Lepisosteus oculatus: one gene and its partner. The protein of the gene in region 2 interacts with the protein of the main gene of each other region in a biochemical or structural test. Links are inferred from orthologs where the notes say so. Each region holds a gene or a part of one and is shown on either strand. Other genes may lie near its edges. The genes, in order: actr3 and cttn.

Region 1 (11,834 bases), on a different chromosome or scaffold from region 2:
CTGCACTGTGCAACAACAGGTCAGACTTCAAGGCTAAAATAAAATAATAACAAAAAATAAGTAATGAAGGCAGTAAATTAAACAATTTATAAAAATGAAATAAAACTTAGGAAATATGACATCCCCTTTTCAATAAACTATTTGAACCATTTGCATTGCTATGTGAAGAGAAAACCCATCACAATCGCACTCAGAACATGTGACTTCAACAAAACAGTCAAAACACCCCAGATGTTATAAAAACAAAGGTGTTTCAATACCTTCATAAAAAACACTGAAGTTAGTTACATTTAATTAATTTTTCAAACACACACTACTTGTTGGAAAAGGCAGATATTAATCTGAGGATTATTTAGATGGGACACTTGTACTAAATCTGTTTCACAAAAACAACAGTTCATTACTGGGCACCAAACCTCATCACAGGAAGATTAAATCCCACTGGCCAGTAAAAATCCACATGCACACCAACACACAGCTGCGTTGGGGTATGCAAAAAAACACTAATAATTCCATAAATTTAATGTGTTAATTCTGGCACTCAACCCACAAAATTAAGTAAGGCCAGCCACTGTAATACCCTATATACGGTTAGTCAAAGTATACCAATTACTTTATAAAGGAAACACACACATTTTTAAAGAACATTATAAATGACTAAACCACTTGTAATGCATTATACAGCTGTGTACAGCAATCCAGATGTATTCCAGATGTGGATTTGACTGCCTTCATTGTCTTTGATGTGCATGGAGACTGTTTTTCACTTGGACCAAAAAAACCTGGAGGAATGTTACTTGTGACTGTCACTTTGTGAATAACAAGCCTTCAGTAAACTAGAAACCCTTCATTTATATACTGCATATCTACCTACTTATAAACGAAAAATATTTTAAGTACTGGAGATTTTTTTTTCCATTCCCTTTTCTAGTCTGTCCACACTTGTTCTTTTATTACACATTCATCTCATTAATCATGGTACTGTGTTTTAAAAAATCACTAGAAAAAACAAAAGCTTATGTGGAGGAAAATGTGAAAAGGACACATACAAAAATTAGATCACAAAAAATAATTACTGAAGACAAAGAACAGAAGAAAAGAACTGTTTAAAAGAAGTTTATTTTTTAAATATCAAATTTGCTGAATGTCTTGATAACGTTTTTTTTTTATCGAATGTTGACAATTTTATCCGCAGACTTTTCCTTAACAGATTACTGTTCCCCCTCCTGCACATGGGAGGAGTAAAACGACATTCCAGACTGAAATCTGGATCTGTCTGGAACAGTTGCCTGCTTAGTTGACCTGTTAAAACAAGTCTCCAGGAATTTTAGAATGCATCCAAGAAGTATGTTGTGCTACAGGTAAATTATTCCCAGCATTTATAAAAAATACTACAACTATACTTAAAATGGAAATGGTGTTATTTTAGTTCTGTGCTTAAGGAACCACTGCTATTATTTATGCAGCTAAAATAGCTTCTAAAACAAGTTGCAGTACATTAAGGACATTAAAAAGATCTTTACTTTTACACTAAGGTGAGATGGTGTAATATGGCAAATTACTTTCTGGTCAAAGCAAAAAAAAAGATGGGACTTCTACGTCACAACAACATAAAACTAAAGCTATGGATTTCTTAAATGCATGTCTAAATGGACTTTCAGGGTTACAGACTTTTTTTTAGATAGCAATTCACAAGACAAGCACGATGCAGTTGTTGAGTATAATGCATACCGCCTTTACCGCATACCTTAATACCAGCACAATGGCTGACAGGATATTACTATCAATTATTTAGCTGAGGCTTTTATTTAAAAAAAATCCCAACTTATTTGCAACCATTTACAGAGTTGGGGATTTTACTGGAACAATCAAAATGAAGCAACTTGCTCAAAGGTACACCATCAGTCCAAGCCCAGAAGACTAACCACTGCTCCACACTGCTCCTCTAAGGATTCAGTCTTCTCTTACTACCACAAGTTGATGTGCTTTACATTTCTATAGTACACACCTAAAAATGCAAAACATGAGGACATATCATACTCTTGTCCTAGCCTGACATTTCCATGCCATACATTATCATCATTCAATCACAAACCTGCAAACCAGGCTAAAGGCCCAACAGCAGGTTTCAGGTTTGATACTGACCGGTGTAGTCTGGATAGAGCTGTTAAAAAAAACTACATTATGAACAAGCAATATGTTAAAAATAATTGCTCCATCCAAACCACTTTCAGAAATATATTCTCGTTTATATTTATAGATTGATATGATCATTATTACGGAACAGGTAGTGGGCTTATTATACGCTGAAAAGAAAAGAAAATGTTTTGGCTGTGGACCCTTGTTCAAGTGTGGAAGAAGGCTCCACACCTGAAGAAGGCTCCACAGCCGAAACGTTCTGTTTCCTGTCTTTTCAGCGTGGAATAAACCCACTACCTGTTCCTTTGTAGCCTCCGCATGCCGACGCAGCAACCTGTTATAACTACCTTTCATCAATGTTATTATTAATAATTTAATTTAGATTAATAATTCAATCTTATTCTGATTTAAATTAGATTTTAAATAAGAAAAGAACGTTTGTCTCGCAAAGTATGACAGACACTTGTGGCCGAAGCAACCGTGCTACAAAAAAAATCTCACCTTTTCATTCATGTCTATTTTCTACAATTCGTTGTTATTTGCAGATACAGATTTTTTTCATACAAGATTCATTCTGTTTAGTGGCTTGTATGTATAAATAGTAAGGCTGCATTTTAATTCTTACATAGAAAATTGGAAAAAAAAGTATGCATATCGGGAATGAAAGGTTCAAGACTGTACTAGTCACAGACTTACTGAGTGATTTATAGAAGCGTAGAAGTATGACACACTGAGCAGAAACATTATTTTTGTCTTATAACAACAGGCCAACTACTCAAGATTCACTCACAGACCCTTGGTATAATACTCCTAAATTTAAGAACTCTGCTAAACGTAATAATATGACTATAGTGCAATCTTAACCATGGAAAAATTGCAAACCACATTTTTTCCCACATTGCTCTCTGGACATGTCAACAGTGACTTCACAACAAGGCAAAGGACAACCCAAAGCATCCCTATCAGGTTATTCTGCAACCCAAAGGTACCAAAAGCTTTTAAGTTCAAAGAATACAAGACACTCCTTGCAGTATCCTCCCTCAGTTGATCACATCTAAGTTATTAATGAAGCTCAAGATGCTCCAAGTAAAAATAATGACTGGTCGCAAATAAATATCCACATTTACAGCACAGAATTGCTAGAGAACCACACAAACTAAACAGAAGTCAGGTGGAGTTCACCCCATATTATGGTTGATCCCTGTACTTGGAACAATTTCAACTGGTCAAATGATTTTACTGAAGGTGCAAAAAAGGTGAACATCAGAGACACAGACAGGGGCCTTACCATAACTTAAAGTACATAGTGCATGAAGGACCAGCATTATTCTGGACCACCCCCCCAAAAAAAAAATATTCTATAGATTAAAAAAACCCGGACAATAAATTGATCATCTCCCCTCTCTACAACGTTCACACTCGTTGGTCTTCAGCGGGTGACGTCACAGCTGCGGTTTCCTTTTTCTTAACAATAGCAGAACCAGAGCTGTGCACTTGCAGAAGAGCAGGAACTGAATTTCTGGCAGCTGGGGACAGACTTCTTTTTTTTTTTTTTTAAGGTGTAGAAAATACTGAACCTCTTATTAGTCATATTTTATCGGCGATCTGTCACACGGCCAAACGTAGTGTAATCATTAACAGCAGGAATTTTATGTGCCATAGATACAGCTCTCAGTTGTATTATGTAAACATAAAATCCAGTGAATACCGCACTGGAAGAACATCCCAGCCCTGTCACTTCAATTCCCATGTTTCAACTCATTTCCACAGCTACGCCCTTCCCGAAAGTTTTACTTAACACGGTTACAGAAACATTTCTTTCAAAATGCATACAGGCAGCAATTTTGCCTTAGCAAAACATGCTGTTCGTTTTTCATCAACCTGAAAATTGGCCGGACGAGACGTTTTTCCTCATTCCTGCCAAAGCGGTCCATCTGTTCATCAGTCACAGATACCGCGCTGCAACACAGCCTCAACCCAAACCAAACGCTGCACAGAACAGGAACTAGACAAAACCTAATACATACAGTCAGCGTGAAGAATAATTAAAAAACCCGCGTCCCTGGAGATCTGATTTCATCTCCTCCCTAGATAGGTGTAAAAAAAAAGTGCAATTTACATGCTTTATAATGTTGACGTTTACCGTATGTCGTATACAACTTTCTTTTGCTATTTAGTTGACAGCAAACGGAAGTTCGAGCCAAATGCATCTTACTTGAAAAATTAAGACGCAAAAGCTTAAGAGAACAATTCAACACACACGAGGAAGTAAGGAGGGAGTTGCAAAAACCACGAAGTTACCTCTACGGTGGCTCCAAAAGCTAACGAGTCATGTAAAACAGTTGTGTTAGCATATGGGCAGCGGCATTCCCATTGCTCTCAAGAAACGTTAAAAACGGGGTAAACTCGGCATATCTTTTGCAGAATATTGTTACAAGTGCGGTTTCCCAAAACACTAAATTTGAAGCCGAAGAAAGACCATATAAGGTATAAAAATCGTAAATCAGGAAGAGGTTTTGACACAACTAGGAAGTCCTTCTGCGCCTGCTCAAAAACCAAGGGGTTTCATTCCGACAGCCATCTAAAGCACGGAAAAAAAAGGGGATTCAAAACATGTTCACACCACAGTTTAATCCCTGTCGCTGCCATTTTAAAACACCCCTTTTAGGAACCTGAAATCGGGAAGGGCTCGGTGCTCGCCCGGACAGAGAAACACTTCTTTGCTTGAGTTTTGGGTGGACCCGTTCAATGAAGCCACTCAGACAGGAAGAAGATGATTTTCTGATGATGAAAGCAAATAGCTCCTTGCGGCTATTATGTAGCAGCCTAATTATACTTTTTTTTTCCCTCTCGCAAAGATAAGACTAGGGAATCTATCTGCGATAAAGCCTACAAGGTCCCGTCTTGCCCCCCCCAAAAAATGCAAAAGGGCCACATTTTTACAACCGGGAGATGAATTAAGCATTGTGCTGGCTCAAACACACACACACACACCCAATACAGAACTGACTGAAAAGGCAATATGACTCTACCATCTCACCTCCGCTTCCCTGTGCTTGGTATTCAATTGAATTTTTCTTACCCGGTACCACAGTCCACTACACAAGCCGGTAACCGTCCTGCCATCTCTTCCGCTCCTGTCGGCCGGGGTTAAAGATGCGTATTTGGAGGGGGAAAAAAGTGTCTGTGCCGGGGCTGAATGAGAGGTGCTATCTGACCATCCAGAGGCGGAACCCTGAACCCTCACAGTGAAGTTTCTACTTCCGCACTCAGCAGAGGAGAAGCAAGATGGCTGAAACCACAGGCAGCTACACGGGCAGGGCTAGCGATCTGTCAATCACGGGGCAGAGAAATATAAAACCTACTTCCACACCGTTTTAATTTCATTTTCCTGAAAACAAAATTCTACCCCCCCCCCCCCCCCCCAGAAAAAAATCAGCCGGAGGGGATATCCGTGGTTTGGTACTCTACTTTGTACTGGAAACAGTTAATAGAGCTAAAAAATACATCTCCAACCAGTAACGTTGAGGTGTTTTTTTTTTCATAGATAATTCTCACCAAGGCCGTTTTGAACGCGTTATTGTTCGCACGGGTGGTCCTGCCTTTGCTCAAAACGCGTAGCCCTTACCAAAGGATAAAGCTGGATTGTATCAGACTGCCTATATACTGTACGCGCCTGGTAACTCCATTATTAAATGTGAACACTGTAGTGTCAAAATCCTGTAGTCTGCCATGCTAGAGAGCTGATTAGTATACTGTATTAATATTACAGTACACTTAGTTGTACTGTCATTGGCACAGTTAACCCAATTAACCTCATTAGAAGCAATAGTAAAAGACTAACCTGAGGTTACATGTGGAAATTATATGGAACTGCAATTAAAACAGAGAACAGGAGACACTTTTTAACACAAAGGGCTGTGTGTGTCTGGCTAGAACATGCTACCCAATAATGTTCAGGAAACAGCTGGATGAAAGCCTCAAATCAATTAGCTATCAGTAACCAAGATGGGCAGAATGGCCTCCTGTCATTTGTAACCTTTCAAATGAAGGTTGTTATATTAAAGACCCTTGTCTACCATTTGCTGACCATTAAAAAGGTTTTCCCCCAACATTAGATAAAACCTACGTCACTGTTCAATCACTCTACCGACATGTAATTGCTCTGAAAATATTTTAAAGGATGTTATATTGCAGACGAAATAGAACGTGATCATAGTAAAACCATTTTAACATTTTTTAATTTGGTCTGAGCAAAGAAACCAACAGTGGGAAGGTCTCGTGTGTCAGTCCTAAATGCGTCCTACCTAACCATAATGATTGCTCATCTAAATCTGGACAGTGTTGTCACCTTTCCAATAGTAATGTATAACCTTAAGTGAGAGAGACTGTATGATATGCATGATCAGATCCTTTTGCATTTTGCATTACTCTACTAGAAATCTATTTAAAAGTGTCTGATCTTCAATTGCATAAAGTGCAAACACTCTCAAGCTTTTACTTTTTCTTCCTGATCAGATGAAAAATGAACTGTTTTAGTGATATCAAAAATGTAAGTTTTTAAAAAACTGTTTTATAAAAGGTGTTTAAAAAACTCAACTACAAAGAGATTGTATATCACTTTAGTGATACGATGTTGAGAATATGTCAGAAAAATGATAGATCACCATCACTGCATTTAGCATTTGTGAGCATTTAGGTAGGATTTTGCTGTTAGAATCACCTTTGATAGTAGAAGGAAGAAAATATAGCTGTTATAAAGCTTCTGCTAATGAACTGTTGCTCTGACTTCTTAGTTGGTAAATCTTGTCAGCCATCGTGTTTTTACATTGAGGGTGTACTGTCAAACGAATTTCCCCAAATAGGACAAGAAAGCTAGAATTTAACTGAATTTAAATAATAGCGTGTTTTATAGTTCTTCAACAAAAAATAAGAATAATTTTAAAAGGTAAAGATTATTCTACATAAACTGGAATAGTAATACACATTTAAATTGACCAAATAGATATATATAGTTAATTGACCAGACTTTAGAAAACATATGTTGAACCATAACCACAGAAAAGCCACATACTGTAAGTTAGGGGTTCAAGTAGCATTTCAACCTTATTTTTTAAATCGGTTGAAATCTGTTGGTCTCTCTTCTAGATCTTCAAATTCTGTGTTACAATATAAACTGAGGATCAAGGGGAACAGACAAACTATTTTGGCAGCATATGTAATGAGCAGCCGTGACAGAGTTAGATTGATTATGTGGATTATTGTTTGTCATCAACAGGGGGTCTACAGTGAAAGCCACAGGTTAGTGTCTTATGTGGCCACCATTGGAAGCAACACAAGCTGCACAACTGGAATTCATGCTCTGCACCAGGTTGCACACGTGTTGCTATTCCAGCTGTAAAGCCTGTTCAATGGTTTCTGTGCCTTGAATCCCACACACATCCCACAAATCATTGTCAGTCATTTTTGAGTGAAATTACTGGCTTTCTCAATACCTGATTGGTTTTATTTTTAAAATATACTACACCGTGACTGGAAAAAGGTAGGCTCCAGTGCTTTTATCAGCAATACGCAGGTAGAAGTCAAGTTCAATAGCACTACAATCCATCATCTTTTGAATTCTCTTCTGTGAAAAATGAGAGACTGGGAACGTGATGTATTATCCAGTTAACCACAAAGACCCCATTCACAAAAGTCATCCGTCTCGTACATGATCTAGTTTCGCTGTAAATACACGTGCCAGGTTCCGTTCATTTCTGGGTAATGTAGTTTTCTGTCCTGTAAGCGCCATTGTTCGGTACGAACATTGAACTGGAAAGAAAACTACATTTTCCAACGTCGCTCAAAATGACGTCAGACGTAGACGATAACTACAGTCACCTGAGCAGGAAGCAACGCAGAGGTTTTGGATGTTGTCAATGTTTACTAGTTGGGGTTTGGAAGTGTTCCTCCTTAAGAAACAGGTAACTGTAGTGATTATTACAAAGCGTTGCATTTGATTAGTTAGGTGTATTTCTACAGAGAAAAATATAACTATCTTGTTAGTTCTCAAGATATGTCAATATCTACACGGGGCAGGTATTACATTGAGCTAAGTGTCCAATTACAGCCTGAAATTGCTTGCCTGACGTTTTGTGAATGACACTCGTGCATAAAATTTAAAGCCAAAATGGACTACAAGCATTTGATTTATGAATTGTAATAATTTCGTTTTACATCTGAACCCTGTTTTGAGGTCACTCGTGCAATTTATTCGATTTTTTATGAAGACCTGAAAATGTCAAGTTGGGAACATAATAGACCGAAATAGCTTTTGGTGAGGACTTATTTCCCTTCTCGTTGATGCAGAACAGTGCGCTATTTCAGTGTGAGTGAAAACTATGCAAATCGTGTCTCCGGACAGATTTTTCGGGCCATCACTCGGTGAAGCAAAGACAAGTTAAAATCATAGTCTGGCATTAAAATCACACTCTCCTAATTTAAAATGACCACGTATAGCGCTTTGACTTGTGTGACACTGAGTTTTCCCACAAGCGAAGTGGGAAGCCGGCGTCTTGGAGGGATTGCGTGGACTGTCGTGTCCAGTGTTATGCGGGTTTATCATTTCATCGATGATCACGATCTTCAAGAGTATCTTTACTCTGATCTGCGGTACCGTCAGAGATTGACTGCATTTCCTTTGCGAAACTCGTGGTTCTCGCTGCGATGTGCAATGTCCAAGAAAGAGAATATCACTGTTGGAGTGCGAGATAACGGAAAATACTGTATATAACACTGTTAACATGCTAGAAGTATTGGTATTTTGGTTATTAAACTATTAACGTTTTACTTAAATTAATACTATCTTTAGAACACAAAATGACATTGTGTTGAACAGCGCAGTCTAGTGACCAGACTTTAAGCTATTTTATTAATAGTCTTATTCAATTTACAGTAAAATATTAACGTCAATAGAAGCTCTTGGATCGTCTAACAAGTGTATGCCGGTCATTACTACATTACAACATTGGCGGCAATTTAAATAGGATTCCTGCCACTTTCCCAGCTATGAATCTGCCTGGGTGTCTGAATTTCGCCCTGCTTCGGTGCCTGTGTCAAGATCACAGTTATGTGTTTGATTGGTTAATTGTGACCAAAAATAAACTCGCTGAATTCCAGGCGGAAGGCTTCCAAGAACCAGTTCTGCTTAGATAGCGCTCATTACTAGTCTGTTGCCTTCCAGCTAACCGAGCGAAAACAGAGCTCTCTGGTGTCAGATGCTAAATAAAATATTCATGTTTAGTGGTCAATGCATTCTGGGCTCTGTTGGGCTTCTTAACTGCTTTATTGTTCCATTTAAAAAAAAATACCCTATCTTCTTGGTTTGTATTATTCATTTCTGCATGAGATATGCATGTGTATTTTACGACGCATACAGTAGCATTTCAAATTAAAATGCACTGATTCATACATAATATAAATAATGCACATCATTTTGGTTTGCTTTTCTACAATAATGTTTGTTTTGTGTTGCAAATTTAAGGCATCACTAGGCACTATTTGCTTTTATGATATCTTTAGTACCAATTCTAACCTCAGTGCAGTTTGTACGTATCTGTAAATGAAATCAACGGCGTCCTTTTTCTTAGACTGATGAAAAGTTACATGAAGTGACTTTTCTTTTAAGTTTTTCTTGCAGCAGCATTTCAGCATTGTAAATGTAGGATATATATTGAGGTTTGGGGAGTACATGAGGTACGCACATGAATCGAGAATGCACTGGGGACGAGGAAATTATGTGTCATCTGAAGGGGCATAACCCCTAACTGGCAGACCTAAGCAGTGGTTTACTGCAGACATCTGTTTTAGGCCCTCTACTTTTCCTGATCTACAGTATATCAGCAATCTAGATTCTGCCATAGTTAGAAAACAATTTACTTTTTAGAGGAACACAAGGTATACTAAAAAAGTGGAAAGGGATGGAAATTATAGATTTGGCATTCGGTTGACTAATGAAATGTAATGTTGTGATACATAAGATGTATAATTATCATACAGTTTGCATATAATTGAATTGCAGGAATCTATGCATTAAAATGATCTGGTTGTTTATGCAGATTCTGCTGTGTTCTACAAGACAATGTAGGCAAGCAATAATTAAATCTAATGCCCGTGTAGTGTACATAGCAAATGATTTGGAATTTAAATCAAGTTAGACTTCAATTTTACAATGCCCTAGTAAAGCCTCATTTAGAACATTGTATTTAGTTTTGGTTACCATACAACAAAAATGATATTATAGCCTTTGAAAAAATGCAAAGAACAGCACCAAGAATTATTCCTGGTCTTAGAAGGCAGGGGAGCTACATTTCAGTCAAGAAGAAATGCGATTGAAAAGAGTTCTGATCCAATTGTGTAAATGTTTAAGGAGAGCAGGTAGGATCAACACAGAGGGGTTAGTTCATGCTAAGTAGTTAGAAAGGGAATTTAATTTGGAAGGAAAATAAGAAAATGAGTTGTGTTAAATGAGTTTAACAGAATTCCCAGCCAGGTGGTTAAGAAATAGCTATTTCAAGAAATAGCTCAAGGAACTTTGAGATTAACATAGCTACTAAACAAGCAACATGGGCCTAATGGTCTCCTGTTGTTTGCAAGCTATCCGATGTACTTAAGGAAAGAGAGCCATGGTTTTTATTCCATTAAATTAGAAAATATTTTGAGACATTTTTGGGGTAACCTCCATTCTAATGCATCGACATGGATAACATCAGACATGAGTGCTTCCTTCAGTGATATGACTTAATGGATGAATTGGGGCCATGCCAGCGGTATTAATATAGCTGTAGTTTTTGAAAGCAGCAGTGGAGATAAAGGGATACCAGTAGAATAAAAGCTTGCCTGGCTCTTCACATAAGGTTGAGTAGAGCTTTGAAATATACACTGATGAAATGCTAGAAAAAATTACAGAGAGTGTTCATTCTTTGGATTGTGTTTTCGCTTCTGCCCAGGATAAGTGACTGTGATGCACAAAGTCATCTACATGCTCACCTTCATCTTTCACACACTGACTGCTGGCTGAGACTGAGACTGAGAGGAAGCCAGAAGAGAGTGCAGTACCTGTTTGTCTTACCACGGAATGTAAGCCAATACATTTCAGGTTTCTGGCTGTATTTTACCTAGAACATAAAAAATTCTTTTAGTGGTCATTGGAACTTTATGGGCTCTTTCTATTGTTAAAAAAAAAGAATAAAGTAGGTTACAAAACCATGTAGTAGTTTTTTTTAATCAAGAATAACAAGTGTCTGCAAACATATTTTTAGTGTTTTTAGTTTACCCTTTCTAATAAAGGAGGTTATCTTATTGGGTGTTATTGGCATTTTGTGAACCTTACATGAAAATGTGTTATAATATAATGAGGTCAAGTTGTTGTCGACATGCATAGGGTAAGGCATTTTGAATAATTCTGCAAAACATTTTGGTTCTTTGAAGAGAATTCATTAATTCCAGATACTGTTACTGAGCAAAGGATATTGTTGCCTAAAATGCAAAAGCAAATATGCTCGTAAAATAATTTTAACAAGTAACCAATTAAGAACACTTTATGGTCTGTTATATTATTTGTCAAAATCCTTTTGCTGTATATAACCTGTCGTAGAACGTATTGCGATGCAATTGTAGGTTTGAACACTGTTTCTGCATACACTACCTTGTCTAAC
Region 2 (12,083 bases):
ACAGTATTCCCTTATTATAAAGCTACATTTTAGATAATCATTGTACAATACATTCCTTTTTTTATGTTTGTAAATATAAATTCTGTACTATCATTTATAAAGGGCTATTACTTAAGATTGCTTTTAATAAGAGAATACTACATCCAAAGCAGTTTATGATTAAAAATCATGTAATCTGATGCAGTTTTCATACTGTACAGGGATCATAGGAAAACCAGCACCTTTCTGTGAAGCATGTTTTTCAGTCTTGCCAGTGTACTCAAATCCAACTGCAGACTGCAAAACAGCAAGGGAAAGATTAGTCATAGTCAACCACTTATGAATGACAAAGTAATGTTTTTGGAAACCAGCTTAGCTTTAAATATCCAATGACTACAAAGTCAAAGACATTTTGCTTTCTTATCCAGATTATGATGTTCAAAGTCACATTTATTGCGTCTATCCAAAAGATATCTTACTACTACACACCACACATTAATGTGTTAAAATAAAAAACATGAACACCCAATTAACATTATAATGCAATTTACAATTACTTAATATTATACAATATTCTGGATTGATTAACTACTCAAAATAAAGGTGGGGAGCTGTGTCAGCATGCGTAGGCTGCAAAGGAACAAGTAATAGGTTTATTCCATGCTGAAAAAAAAGAAGAAAGAGAACACAACGTTTCGGCCGTGGAGCCTTCTTCAGGTGACACCTGAAGATGAAACGTTGTGTTCTCTTTCTTCTTTTTTTCAGCATGGAATAAACCTATTACTTGTTCCTTTGCAGTACTCAAAATAAAGTACTATCAAGATATACTCTAAAGTTCAACAGACACCCCAAGTTTCACATTAGTAATGAGCAGTAAGAACAATAAGATTTTTTTTCAATTATCACTATCGACACCTTTCTCTTATGTGGACACTTCCTTCTGCACTGCCTTCAATACTACACAGGTATGACCCTGCAGCAGAGGCAAAATGAAGTTTGTGGTTTTGAAAAAAGGATGACAGTGCTGTACCTGGTCAATACGATCCGCTTGGACACCGAATTTTCCGCCAAATCCTTTCACAGAGTCGGTCTGAGAGCAGTGTTTGGACAGCTTACTCTGGTACTCATGGCCTACAGCAGACTACAGAAAGACAACAAACATCCCAGACATTCATTGCCAGCACTGAACTACAAGAACACACCAAAACAACACTATAGAAGACAAATAGGTCATGTTTACTTGGACATTTAAAATTCTGAATCCATACTGGTGATAAAAAAAATGACTTGCTAAAACTAAGCTTGCTTGAAGTGCCCAGGTATGATTGCGATGCACACCAAAGTCCAGATCACTGTTTTATTTAACATATGCTTTCATTGTCCCCAAGTTCAGGAGAATTCTAACAATGGAGCAGAATCAAGCTCCGAGATCAGCAGCCATTTTAAACTTTCTGACTTTTTCTGGAAGCTAGCTGATAAGCTGATAACCTTGTTTTTCAACAGGAGGAAGGACAAACAAATCAGAAGTCCAGGATTGCTTTTCTCTGTTGTCCTGAATATCCCTTTGAAAGTACAAGACGACAAGGTGTTCACTACCTTTCACCTCGAGAGTACAAGAGCAGAGAACTTAAACCAGAATATTAGTTGTAATTGCTTATACTGCTAATTTAACTTTTCTATTCACATTATAGGCATTTTCATATTTACTGTTCCAGGAATATCATCACTTGCTGTGAACTGTGAATGCTTACAGCTCCGATCTCCTGAGTCCATTCTGATACATTTTCGAACAAACCCGTTTCCATTAGGGCAGATCAAATGGGTGAACCCATGTGGAAAAGAATGTCATACCACTTCTCACCATGCACATATTTCACAGTAAAGCCGTTGGATCATCAAATATTACCACTGTACAATACCCACAATGAAGAAAGGGATTTGTGTACCAGTTGCATACAGACAAGTGCAAATCGTTAGCTCATAGGAAAATCTTTTTTTCCCTGGCAGGCCTGGTGTTATCCCATTCACACATTAAAGCCAGAATGAGGAGTGTATGACTGGCTCACAATGTTACTGTTGGCATCGACTCCCTGGCCTACCGATCAGGTGGCAGGCACTGGCAGGCAGATTATTTCACCAGGAAATTGACAATTAAGGAACGCAGGGAGGGAGTTATGCACTGACGTTTGCCAGACAATTTAGAACATAATGGATTTCAAACAGCGACAGTTATCTTGCGTGCCAAAGCCAAGATCAGTAGTACAACTGAGAAGTTAGAAAAAAATGTATTTTGTGCTCCAACTCCTGCTCTGTCAGTGATGACCAGCAAATATATATACACACTTTTACCTGCAGTTTAAAAAAAAAACTTTTTGCAGTTGAAAAGCATATGTGCCACATATGTCACTTGGGACCAGAGTATTTTTTATTGCTAAAGACAAATAGTCTGTAATTTACAGGTTTAAATATACTACTACAATATATAGAAATGAAACAAGTGTCACATGGCCTGTGAGCACACTGTATTTAAACCTCGGTAACACACTTTGCTCTGACCACTCATAATTCAAACGAATGTTGATTCAAACGTGTCCAAAATATCATCACTAATACACAGAATTGCTTTTAATTTAACAGATTTCAGTGTAAAAGAAAAAATGTATGACATTTCATCTCCAGTACCTTATCCATTCGATCCTGCTGGACTCCAAATTTTCCACCGTAACCATGAGAAGCTTTAGGCATATTCTCCAGCTCCTGCTCCTTCAATTTGCAATGCTCCACTGAGACATTTTCACGCAGCTTATGAATGCTGCACAGAAGCAACAAAGAAAAAAAATAAACCACAAGTGGCAAAATACTATTTGAAACCATCAACTCATCACTGATACTCCAACTCCTTGTTCACCAAGCAAAACAAGAAAACTTCAGTTGCCCTACAGTATGTGCAAACCTAACATCCCATGCACGCAAATATTAAAACTGGAGCCACCATTATAACACAATCTAATACACATGGATCTGCTAGGAAAGAGCTGCTTACTTAATATGCTCCTGGTGTCCAGATCCCTCAACGGTCTTGGCTCCCCATCTTTGTTCCTTCTCAGATACATCATTCTAGTGGCAGCAAAGTAGGAAAAAAAGATACATTTCAAAACAAGTAGTCAACAAGCTACACCTTTTTATTATATCACTGACTTCCTACCTGCAGTTAGCTACTGTATAGTACAGAACATCCTTACCAGCCCAATGATAAGCTGTACAAATGATTCATGGAAATCCCATTACATGTAATTTTCATTACATGTAAACACTGAAGCATAATTTTCAAACACTTTATTCTGCCACAGCTTTCAGGCAAGCCACTGTTGTTTAATCAGACAATGTGGTGGGGGGAGGGAAGCTTTCTTCTTAATCTTACAAATGAGAAATGGGCTAGAAATTGTTTACAGCCACACCGTGTAAAACAGCAAATTTGTGATGTGTTCTCCAAGAGACATAAGAAGGACATAATGAAAAAATCACTCCTTACCACAAAGTCTGGATCAGTCTCCCAGTCATCTGAGCCATCATCAGTGATGGAAATAGATTTTCCGCCTGCAGCTTTCCACATCTAAGGAAGCAAAATGGAGGAGTTTAAGTACAATGGTTCCTGAACAAGTCACTACTATTTCTCATTTTAATCATTACAGTTGTTTATTTTTTGGACAACTGCATGTTCTGCTATACAAAAGGATAGGTTCATGCAAGATAAAAAAAAATACCTGGGCTGCAAACTGCTCTGCTAAAAAGTTTCAAATGAGACAGGAACTTCATTAAGGTGTTAAAACTACCAGGCTGAAATCTATACAGTTGTCCGGGTATCAGCTTCTACACAGACCATAAAAGAAACCGTGCAATTAATCACGATAAAACACTGAGAGATAATTGCAATGCTACAGGAACTGAAACTAGAAAAACAAAGTGCAGTGAAAAAGTTTTTACAAGATGGCCTGTCAAATTGATAATGGGAGCTGTACTCTACTTTCTCCAGCTGGAGCTGAACTGTCTTGAAATAAGCAGTTGAAAGAAGACGGACTAAATAGTTGAGTTGCTGTCAGTTGCAACATTTGAAACAATATCTATTAAGGCATATTTCTTCCCTAGGCCTGACTTGTGTAGGATGAAACTTTGCATTCCTCGGATGTCGTCCACAATGCAGGCAATCAAATAGCAACAAATAAAACGTCAGTCAAGATGGGGATTTCTGAGCCCTGCTGCGTCTGGCCCAACTCTATAACTATCCCATAATACAGACTGTACAGTCTGACTCAGCCGCACACAGGCATCTGCGGTGTAGCAATGGAAAAAGTTGGGTTTGCATTCCAGATTTAAAAGAAAAGTTCGCATATGCCTCCTGCAAATTCAGCGCAAAACGTGGATTTGAAACATATTGACGGGGAGGGGTGACTGAACCCCTTAGCCTAGCCTGTATCTGTGTCTCCCTCTGGTGTTGAAGTATAAAGTTGAAGTGCAGTTATTTGCAATCTTAGGTATTTCACAGCACAAATACCTTCCGTGCAGTTACAGCTGCCCTTCAGCACCACACCCAGATCACAACTTGTGCTGCTATATCCCCTTCCCGTGACAAGTTTAAGGGACGTCTCCACTGAAAACTCGACTATTTTATCATACGTGTTTAACTGCAAACCCCTCGAACAATAGACGACACAGCTCCATTTTCACTATAGTAACCTCGCATGGGGATTATAAAGTGGAAATGCTATTTTAAATATACTTCCCCAATGAAACAGTTAAGAAGAAATTATAAAAAGGGATGTGTGAGGGGTCTTCGTTATGAATATACCTTTTTACAAGAATCGAAACTTTTGAGCCACATTATTTTGACCAATATTAGAGACTGGGGCACTGTTTCATTTAGAAGGATAATTGCTGCATAAACACAGACTAGGCCAGCACATCTGAACCAAAGCAAACCTGAACAGGAATGCAAATCCGACTAACATGCAAAGCATGCTCACCTTTAACAATCTTTTTACAGAGGGATGCGTTCCGATGAAACTACTTTAGATAACCCAACGTCCACCACAAGACGAAATTCTCTTCCTGCGTTAGCCCTTTCTTTCAAGCCACTGAGTCATCCATCGAACGGGACACTCTTAGCACACATTTTTAATAGATCATTAAAGGAGATAAAATGTTTGCCCGTGGCTACCGAGTAAATAAATTCAATGTATAATAACTACTAAATATGTTCTGCACTGCATCATTTCCTGCTCCATATCTCAAGACTGATCTCAGCCTCTATGATTTATGTGTTCCTGCTTGCGAGTCTGCATTGATATCGTGCCCCCCGACACCTAATGAGGCGACGTCGGAATCTGTTCTACCTGTACTGGGGTACCGCTGTCACGTTGACTTACTTTGTCCGAATGTTTCTTCTCGCACAAATTGTCGCCGAAGATAAAAAAAATAAACGCTTCTGAAGCTAACCCAAACCTCCGTAGTATTCCTGCTCCAACTCCCGATCCTTCCGGCTCTCCCAGAGCCCGACTTCCTGTTACGAGCTCAGCAGCACCACCTGGGAGCCGTGCCGGGAATGCGGAGAGGACAAGGCGAAACGCCAGCTGTAAGTACTAAAACTTCTAACGCCTCGAAAACTACGCCACCTGCACGTGTATTTAGATTTTCTAGGAGAGTAAATGCACGTTTTCGTGTTATACTGTGCCTTCGTCCACCGAAATGTTGTGTATGTTACAGCTTTATAAGGATGTAGTTCTCCTTTTAAAGTTAATGCAACCGTATTTAAAAACAAAAACTTATTAGCCTCTGTTGGCATTGTGCAATTTTTTTCTTGATTAACATTAAAACAAAAAAAAACAAACCTTTTGTATTGCAAAAATTGTTACGATTTTATTAAGTTCAAAAGCATTTAAAGACCAGTTTTTTTTTAAAAAATGCAATTTTAATGAAATCCTTTGTAAAAAGAAATCGGATCAATTACTACTACATGCAACAATGATTTTTTTTAAACAAAGACACAGTCTTTTTTATTGGCAGTGGAAAATAAGTTTCAGTATTTTATTGAAAGTAAGCAATAAATAATACTGTGATAAAAATAGTTCAAAAGTAGTCAGACTGTACATATTTGTTACAAGGTCACGAAATTTGAAATGAGAAAACAAAACGAAGAACATGAGGGTAACATGATTTGTGTTTTACGTACGTCTTATCAAACAGACAAGGTAAAATAAATCAGTACATTAAAAACATTTTAATGAGTCTGTCGATTTCCCAACATTATGAGTATATAAATACTGAGAAACCTGGTGTTCAATGACAAGTGAATACACATTCAGAAACACTTCAGCCATGGATACGATCCAAGGAAATGACAACCGTTATACAAAGTGACAAAAAAAGTAAAAACAAAAATAAGGCTTAAAGTCATCGTACAATGCATTAGAAGGTTATGAAAATTGTGCCACCTTCTACTGACTTCCCACTTGAAATGAGACCACAGTGATCAGGCATTGGTCCATGATGAATGAAACGTGTTGCATCAGCTTCTTTTAAGCTTTTAATGAAGAAGAGAGAGGAATGGAAAGTTTCAGCATCCGTGGCTGGTAGAGTATTTCTACTTGAAAGGACCTTATAGCCAAACAACGCATCTATAAGTGATTCTCTTCTTCATAGTTCTATGGCTTTTCCAAAGTACATTTTGGTATCACAGTAAATGATTTACAGAGATGCACAAATATACAAATATTGTGTGTGTGTGTGTGTGTGTGTGTTTTGGGGTGGTGGTCAAACCTCAATTATTTTTCACATTTTCCAGACCCTAATCTTCAGTCCTCCTGACATACCAAAGAGCGATCTAAAATGCTGAAGAGTTTTCACCAGTTTTTGAAATTCAGAAATTGAAATTGACCTAAAAGTTGCATTTAAAAGTTTAAATCAACCATTAAGAAAATGTGAAAAAAAGGACTTTTAGAAATGCACTCGTGTTAAAGTCACTTTAGCTTAAACCCCACATTTAAAATCAAAAACAAAAAAAGTCTGTGGTCAATGCACAAACAGGTATATATATATAAAAAATAAAGATTAGATAATGTCTGTAGATAAATATACAACCTTCAGACTCATGATACATTCAGTTACATCTGAAAGGATTTTACATTTGATAAGGGCACAACAGAATTTGAAGGAAAAAAGCAAAATGAATACAGACAATGATACAGTATTAGGTCTAAGTAAATGAAATATCCAATCAGTTTACATAAATATAAGAAACTTTAATTCTAAAATATTTTCTCTATGGTATTCAGGAAATTTGTGAATTCTCTAAACTCTGTAATAAAATATTTATAGTGTTCTTGTAAGAAGTAACAATGTCACAGATCTCATCTTGATTTCAGAAATGTAGTCTTCAATTGATTTAATGCTGTTTAATCATCGATAGAAATAGTGGGGATAAACTGCAAATAGAAAAAAGAACAAAGTCAGTGCAAATTATGGGTAATCGGTAGATAATTAACATTGTGTCAGCTACATAGAAGAACTCAAGCCTTCTGCTATGGACAGTCCATGTCATGAAACTTGTTCTATTTCTGCACACCTCAGAAAAATTCAAATGTAATCAGATGTAATATTAAGACTAATTCTTTCTCCTATGTAAGAAAAACTACTTAACACACAGAAAAGCAAATTCAAAAGTCTTCATTTGTGAGCAGATAGCCAACTGTAAAATTCTGGTTACCTTGAAAACAAAGGATTTACTTAATTGACAAGAAGATTACATTTTCTATAGGAAAGAAAAACTGGAACCAAATTCCTGATAAATGACCTACATTTAAGGTGACTTTATATCTATTAAATCAGGAAACCACTGACATCATTTAGTCTAAATTCCCCAGTTTTCATACAGACAAGTGAACACTTAGTCAATCCTTATGAAGTAACTTTTTCCAAACAGTAATGATTTGTTTTAATGTTGTACTTGTGGAGTTACTAAATAGTAATCAATAGGAATAATGTCCACGAACCACAAGCTCTTCCAGTTAAATGACTTATGATCATGTATGGTGACATGACATTGGAACTCACCAAGAGAGGGTGTTAACACGAGTAGGTCCTTACTGTGGCAGAATCCAATCTTTGAGCTCCTGATATACTGCCTGGTCCCAACCATCCAGAGACAAGGTGCAATACAACATGCAGTTAGTCAAATCCAAAAATGTTAGCAAACAAAGCAAAGCAGAATCTAATAACAAACAGCTGGTCTTTTCAGATGGCCATTTCACAGATTGCTAAGAGTACGTTTATATTTGTTCAATAAAACTAAAGGACACATACACTATTCAAACAATGTACACTAAAAAGAAAAAAAATACCTACGCTAAATATCCTGTATCTTATCAGAAAATCGGATTCAAAATGCTTTCTAGGAAAGTTCTCAATATCAAGTGCATGAGCTGCCTAAAAAGGAACATGCATTTTAGCACGGTCAGAAATTAAGATATTTCAATTGCTCTCTGCAGATTTCTTGTAAATGCAAAAGTGGTTATGGATTTCACTTTAAAAAAAAGTGAAGCATAAAAACTGCTGTAATTAATACTTTCATATCAATTCAGACAGATCAGCATATTTTTATAAAGCTGTTAGTCATGCAGTTGTCATGCCCATGAAATCAAAATATTTTGCTGTCATACCATCCATTTGCATTTTCTTTGGCTGCATAGATGGTGAGGACATTGTGTTTGTCACCCTGAAGTTTGCAGGAAGAGTCTCTGCCGACCCAGGGTTCATCCCCCTAACGTCTTTTGGACGAAACTTTTTCCTCCAGGATGGAGCCCTCCTAAAATTCTTGTCATCATCCTAGCCACACAAGGAAAGAACCACATTTCACCAAGTCAGACTACAGTCTGTTCAGCTGAAAATAAAACAGCTTAGACATTTTCATTTAAAAGCTTAAATTTATAATTTAGGGCATCACACTGGATTTTTTTATTTAAGTAGAGAAAAATAGCCCATTGATAGTAACATCCAGCAATAATTTATATTCAACATTGTGTTTTTTACAGGCAAAATTAACTTCAAAGAGCTGCATATTTAGTTTTTCTCACCTCATCCAGTCTTCTTTCTGTACCCAGGGCAAGAAGGTTATTATATTCTCTCTCTAGAATTGTTCTTGCCTAAGTGGAAAGAAACAAGCTAAGCTGTTGATGTAATATTCCTAACAATGAAACCTCCAAAAGTTAATAAGATGAAGACTATCAGTTGCATCCTATTACATGTGTCTGTAATGAAACACTCAAAAGGCACAAAGAAGGTAGAAATTAGATGTCTGTTAAGCATTCTTTTGGCTAAATACTATGTTTGAAATTCACATGCCTCTAAGAATTCCCTAGTTTAACAGGAATGTTTATCACAGTGGGTACTTGGCTAAGTACAGTCCAGATGAGCACTACAAAAGACTGGAGACAAAAGGGGAAATAGAAACTAATATGAAATATTAGTCAACCAACTGCAATGCAATGAAGGCATAACATGGAAATCACAAACTAAATGTTATACAAATGAAATAAGTGTACCTGTGTGTTCTGGGTGGGTATCTGTAACAACAGCGCTAAAGCATTGTGATCAAAAGTTTCATCTAAGGCAAGTAGTGCACCATGGACTCCACTCTCCAACAGGTTATTTGCATATTCCTTGAGACCGATGGACTGAACCCAGTTGACCACTCGGTCATTGCTCCATACCAGCACATCTGAAACAGCAGGCAAAGAGCTCTCGTGAAACCAAACCTCCCAATAAATATTGACATGAGAAGCTTTCACCCATTACAACAAATACTTCCAAGACCTGGCGGTGGACTACAGATTAGAAATATCTGACGGGTTTTATTGTGTGACAAACCATCCAAGTGCCACAGTTTGAAATACTTTTGATACAAGTGGTATGTGGTTGAATGACTTAAAACAGAATTTGCAAGTCACTGGGCAGCTGCAGATCTAGGATTAAGGTAGAAAATATCCATCATTACCTTTAAGTTCCACTTGGGATTCTTCTCTTCGTCTTTCAAGTTCTTTCCTATCATAATTTTGCCTTCGTAGGCACATTACCCCGCACTGGAAACTATTTCTGTTTTGGAAAGAAACCACAGAAACATTAAAATGACTTGCTACAGAAAAGTATTTGCTCAATTGTTTCAGATATATCCAAAGTTTCTTATTCCGTTTTATATTGACACCAGGGGGAGCTTGTAGTCTTTCATATCAACTCCTTAGATTAGTCTATACAGTGCACATTCATTTTTGATGGTCAGTGCATTTCTTAATTTCCCAATTAACAAAACCAAGCAATTGAGGTAATATTGTAACACAACTTTGTTTTTGTTTTTTAAATGTTCTATTTTGGACTGTAATTCACAGAATAATTACATTTCCAGCACTGTAAATTCATCATCCTAGTAAACTATTTGAAAAACTCCACCTGGTTTAAATGCTCATTCAATCCAAATCCACAATGCATCTCCTCACCTGTGAAAACTATCTACCATTTTTAGCTGGCCACGCAGATCCTTCTTTGTTAAGTGGTCAAGCATTCTAGCGTCAACAAGGCACTCCATGAAGTAGCTCCGATACTGAGGCAGTCCCAGGCTGGGAAGCCATTCATTGCCAATCCATTCGTGATTCATATCCCCATACGCTAGTGTCTACAAAAACAAGGTCTAGGGTGAATTCATTGTTTTAAAAAGATACTTAAATAACACTGTATGATTCTTTTTGCTAGCCATTCCAATATTTTGCATGTGGCCATGATATGCTTGAAACTACAAAACACTCTTTAATAATCTCAGAATTTTCTCAAAAACTGAAATAGTTTCGTAAGTATTCAGGGTTAAGGCTGTTATTCAGAATCAGATCCATGGCTCAGCAGCACATGCTGTTACGTCCTGACTACCTTTTCAGCAAATGTAAGAGGTGGGTTTTTTTTTTTACTTTTTTTCCCCCACAGATGTTCACTACGGAGTTCTTTATGGAGACTTTTCTTGCAGAAATACAGTAGGTAAAATGGTATGGTTTTTTCAAATATATCTTAAGATTTACGACCCTCATATGTCCCTGTTTTAGTGGATTGTGTGGCACATTCGCAGAAGTTTACAAATTAATCTATTCCATAAATGTGATCAAGATCAACAGGCCAGACATTTGCTTAATTTTAAAAGTACATCCTGGTATTAAATGATCAGGAAACTAGAATGGTACATCTTTGGTGCAAATCTTTAATGTGTCTAGTCATCCTAAGAGGCAACAGGAAGAAGTTCTAGATTCTTGTAAGTAGAAGTTTGGTAATTAACCAGCTCCAACTTCACTAGCTAGGATGCTGGATTTAATTGTAGTCATTAGTAGAAACGGATATATGACTTCGGACTTCCTACAAGTTATGGAAGACAAAGTTTTCATAAAAAGGGCAAGATTAGAAACCAGGGAACCGAGAGTAGGGAAGCTCCCTTCAATACCTTTCCTCCAAAATTAGTCATAATTTACAACATTTAGAAGTCTACAGCACATAGACAGAAAAATGGCAAACCTGGGCCCAGCTGCCCTCCTCATCCTCCTGTTAGCATTGTTAGAAGTGCAAAGAGAAAATTAAGAAGTGTTAGTAGATTGTCAGTGCTTAGTAAAAAAAAATCCATTGTGGTCAAGTAAAGAAAGGTGAAGTAGCCCCAGATCCCAGGACAAGAATAATTAAAAAATTAGTTGCAATTGTTTCTTCTTAGCATGTGCTACAGTTCTACAGTTTCCAGTCATCAACATAGAGATATTTCTGGATATGTCATTAGAAATATGTTAAAAGGTCTGACTTGCACACAAAATTTAAGGAACTCCTGAAATCACACTTTTATTATTCTATATTACTGAAAATATTAAAGACAAGTAGGGCACAATTTAACTACCATTTGAAAAGGAGAAGATTTCCTAGGCAAAGGAGAAATGGTCTCATGTTATATGCACACTAAGACAGCAGATATACAGTTGCAAGAAAAAGTTTGTGAACCCTTTGGAATTACCTGGATTTCTGCATTAATTACTCTTAAA

What was found.
Region 1: the proteins of cttn (region 2) and actr3 form a complex in vitro, tested with the Homo sapiens proteins (3 studies listed by BioGRID). The link is inferred for Lepisosteus oculatus from reciprocal best matches to the Homo sapiens genes CTTN and ACTR3.

The regions. Positions count from the first base shown.
Region 1 is NC_090707.1:5,680,980-5,692,813, reverse strand, and holds the start of actr3 (actin-related protein 3), read right to left. Parts: upstream 5,428-11,834; 5' UTR 5,266-5,427; coding exon 5,222-5,265; intron 1-5,221. UniProt on the Homo sapiens protein: ATP-binding component of the Arp2/3 complex, a multiprotein complex that mediates actin polymerization upon stimulation by nucleation-promoting factor (NPF).
Region 2 is NC_090716.1:5,753,776-5,765,858, reverse strand, and holds the start of cttn (src substrate cortactin), read right to left. Parts: upstream 5,564-12,083; 5' UTR 5,403-5,563; intron 4,028-5,402; exon of another isoform or gene 3,744-4,027; intron 3,593-3,743; coding exon 3,512-3,592; intron 3,097-3,511; coding exon 3,023-3,096; intron 2,792-3,022; coding exon 2,662-2,791; intron 1,121-2,661; coding exon 1,010-1,120; intron 277-1,009; coding exon 222-276; intron 1-221. Other genes in the region: liprin-alpha-1, read right to left, coding at 8,098-8,156, 8,691-8,856, 9,105-9,173, 9,573-9,748, 10,025-10,122, 10,521-10,696, 11,575-11,601.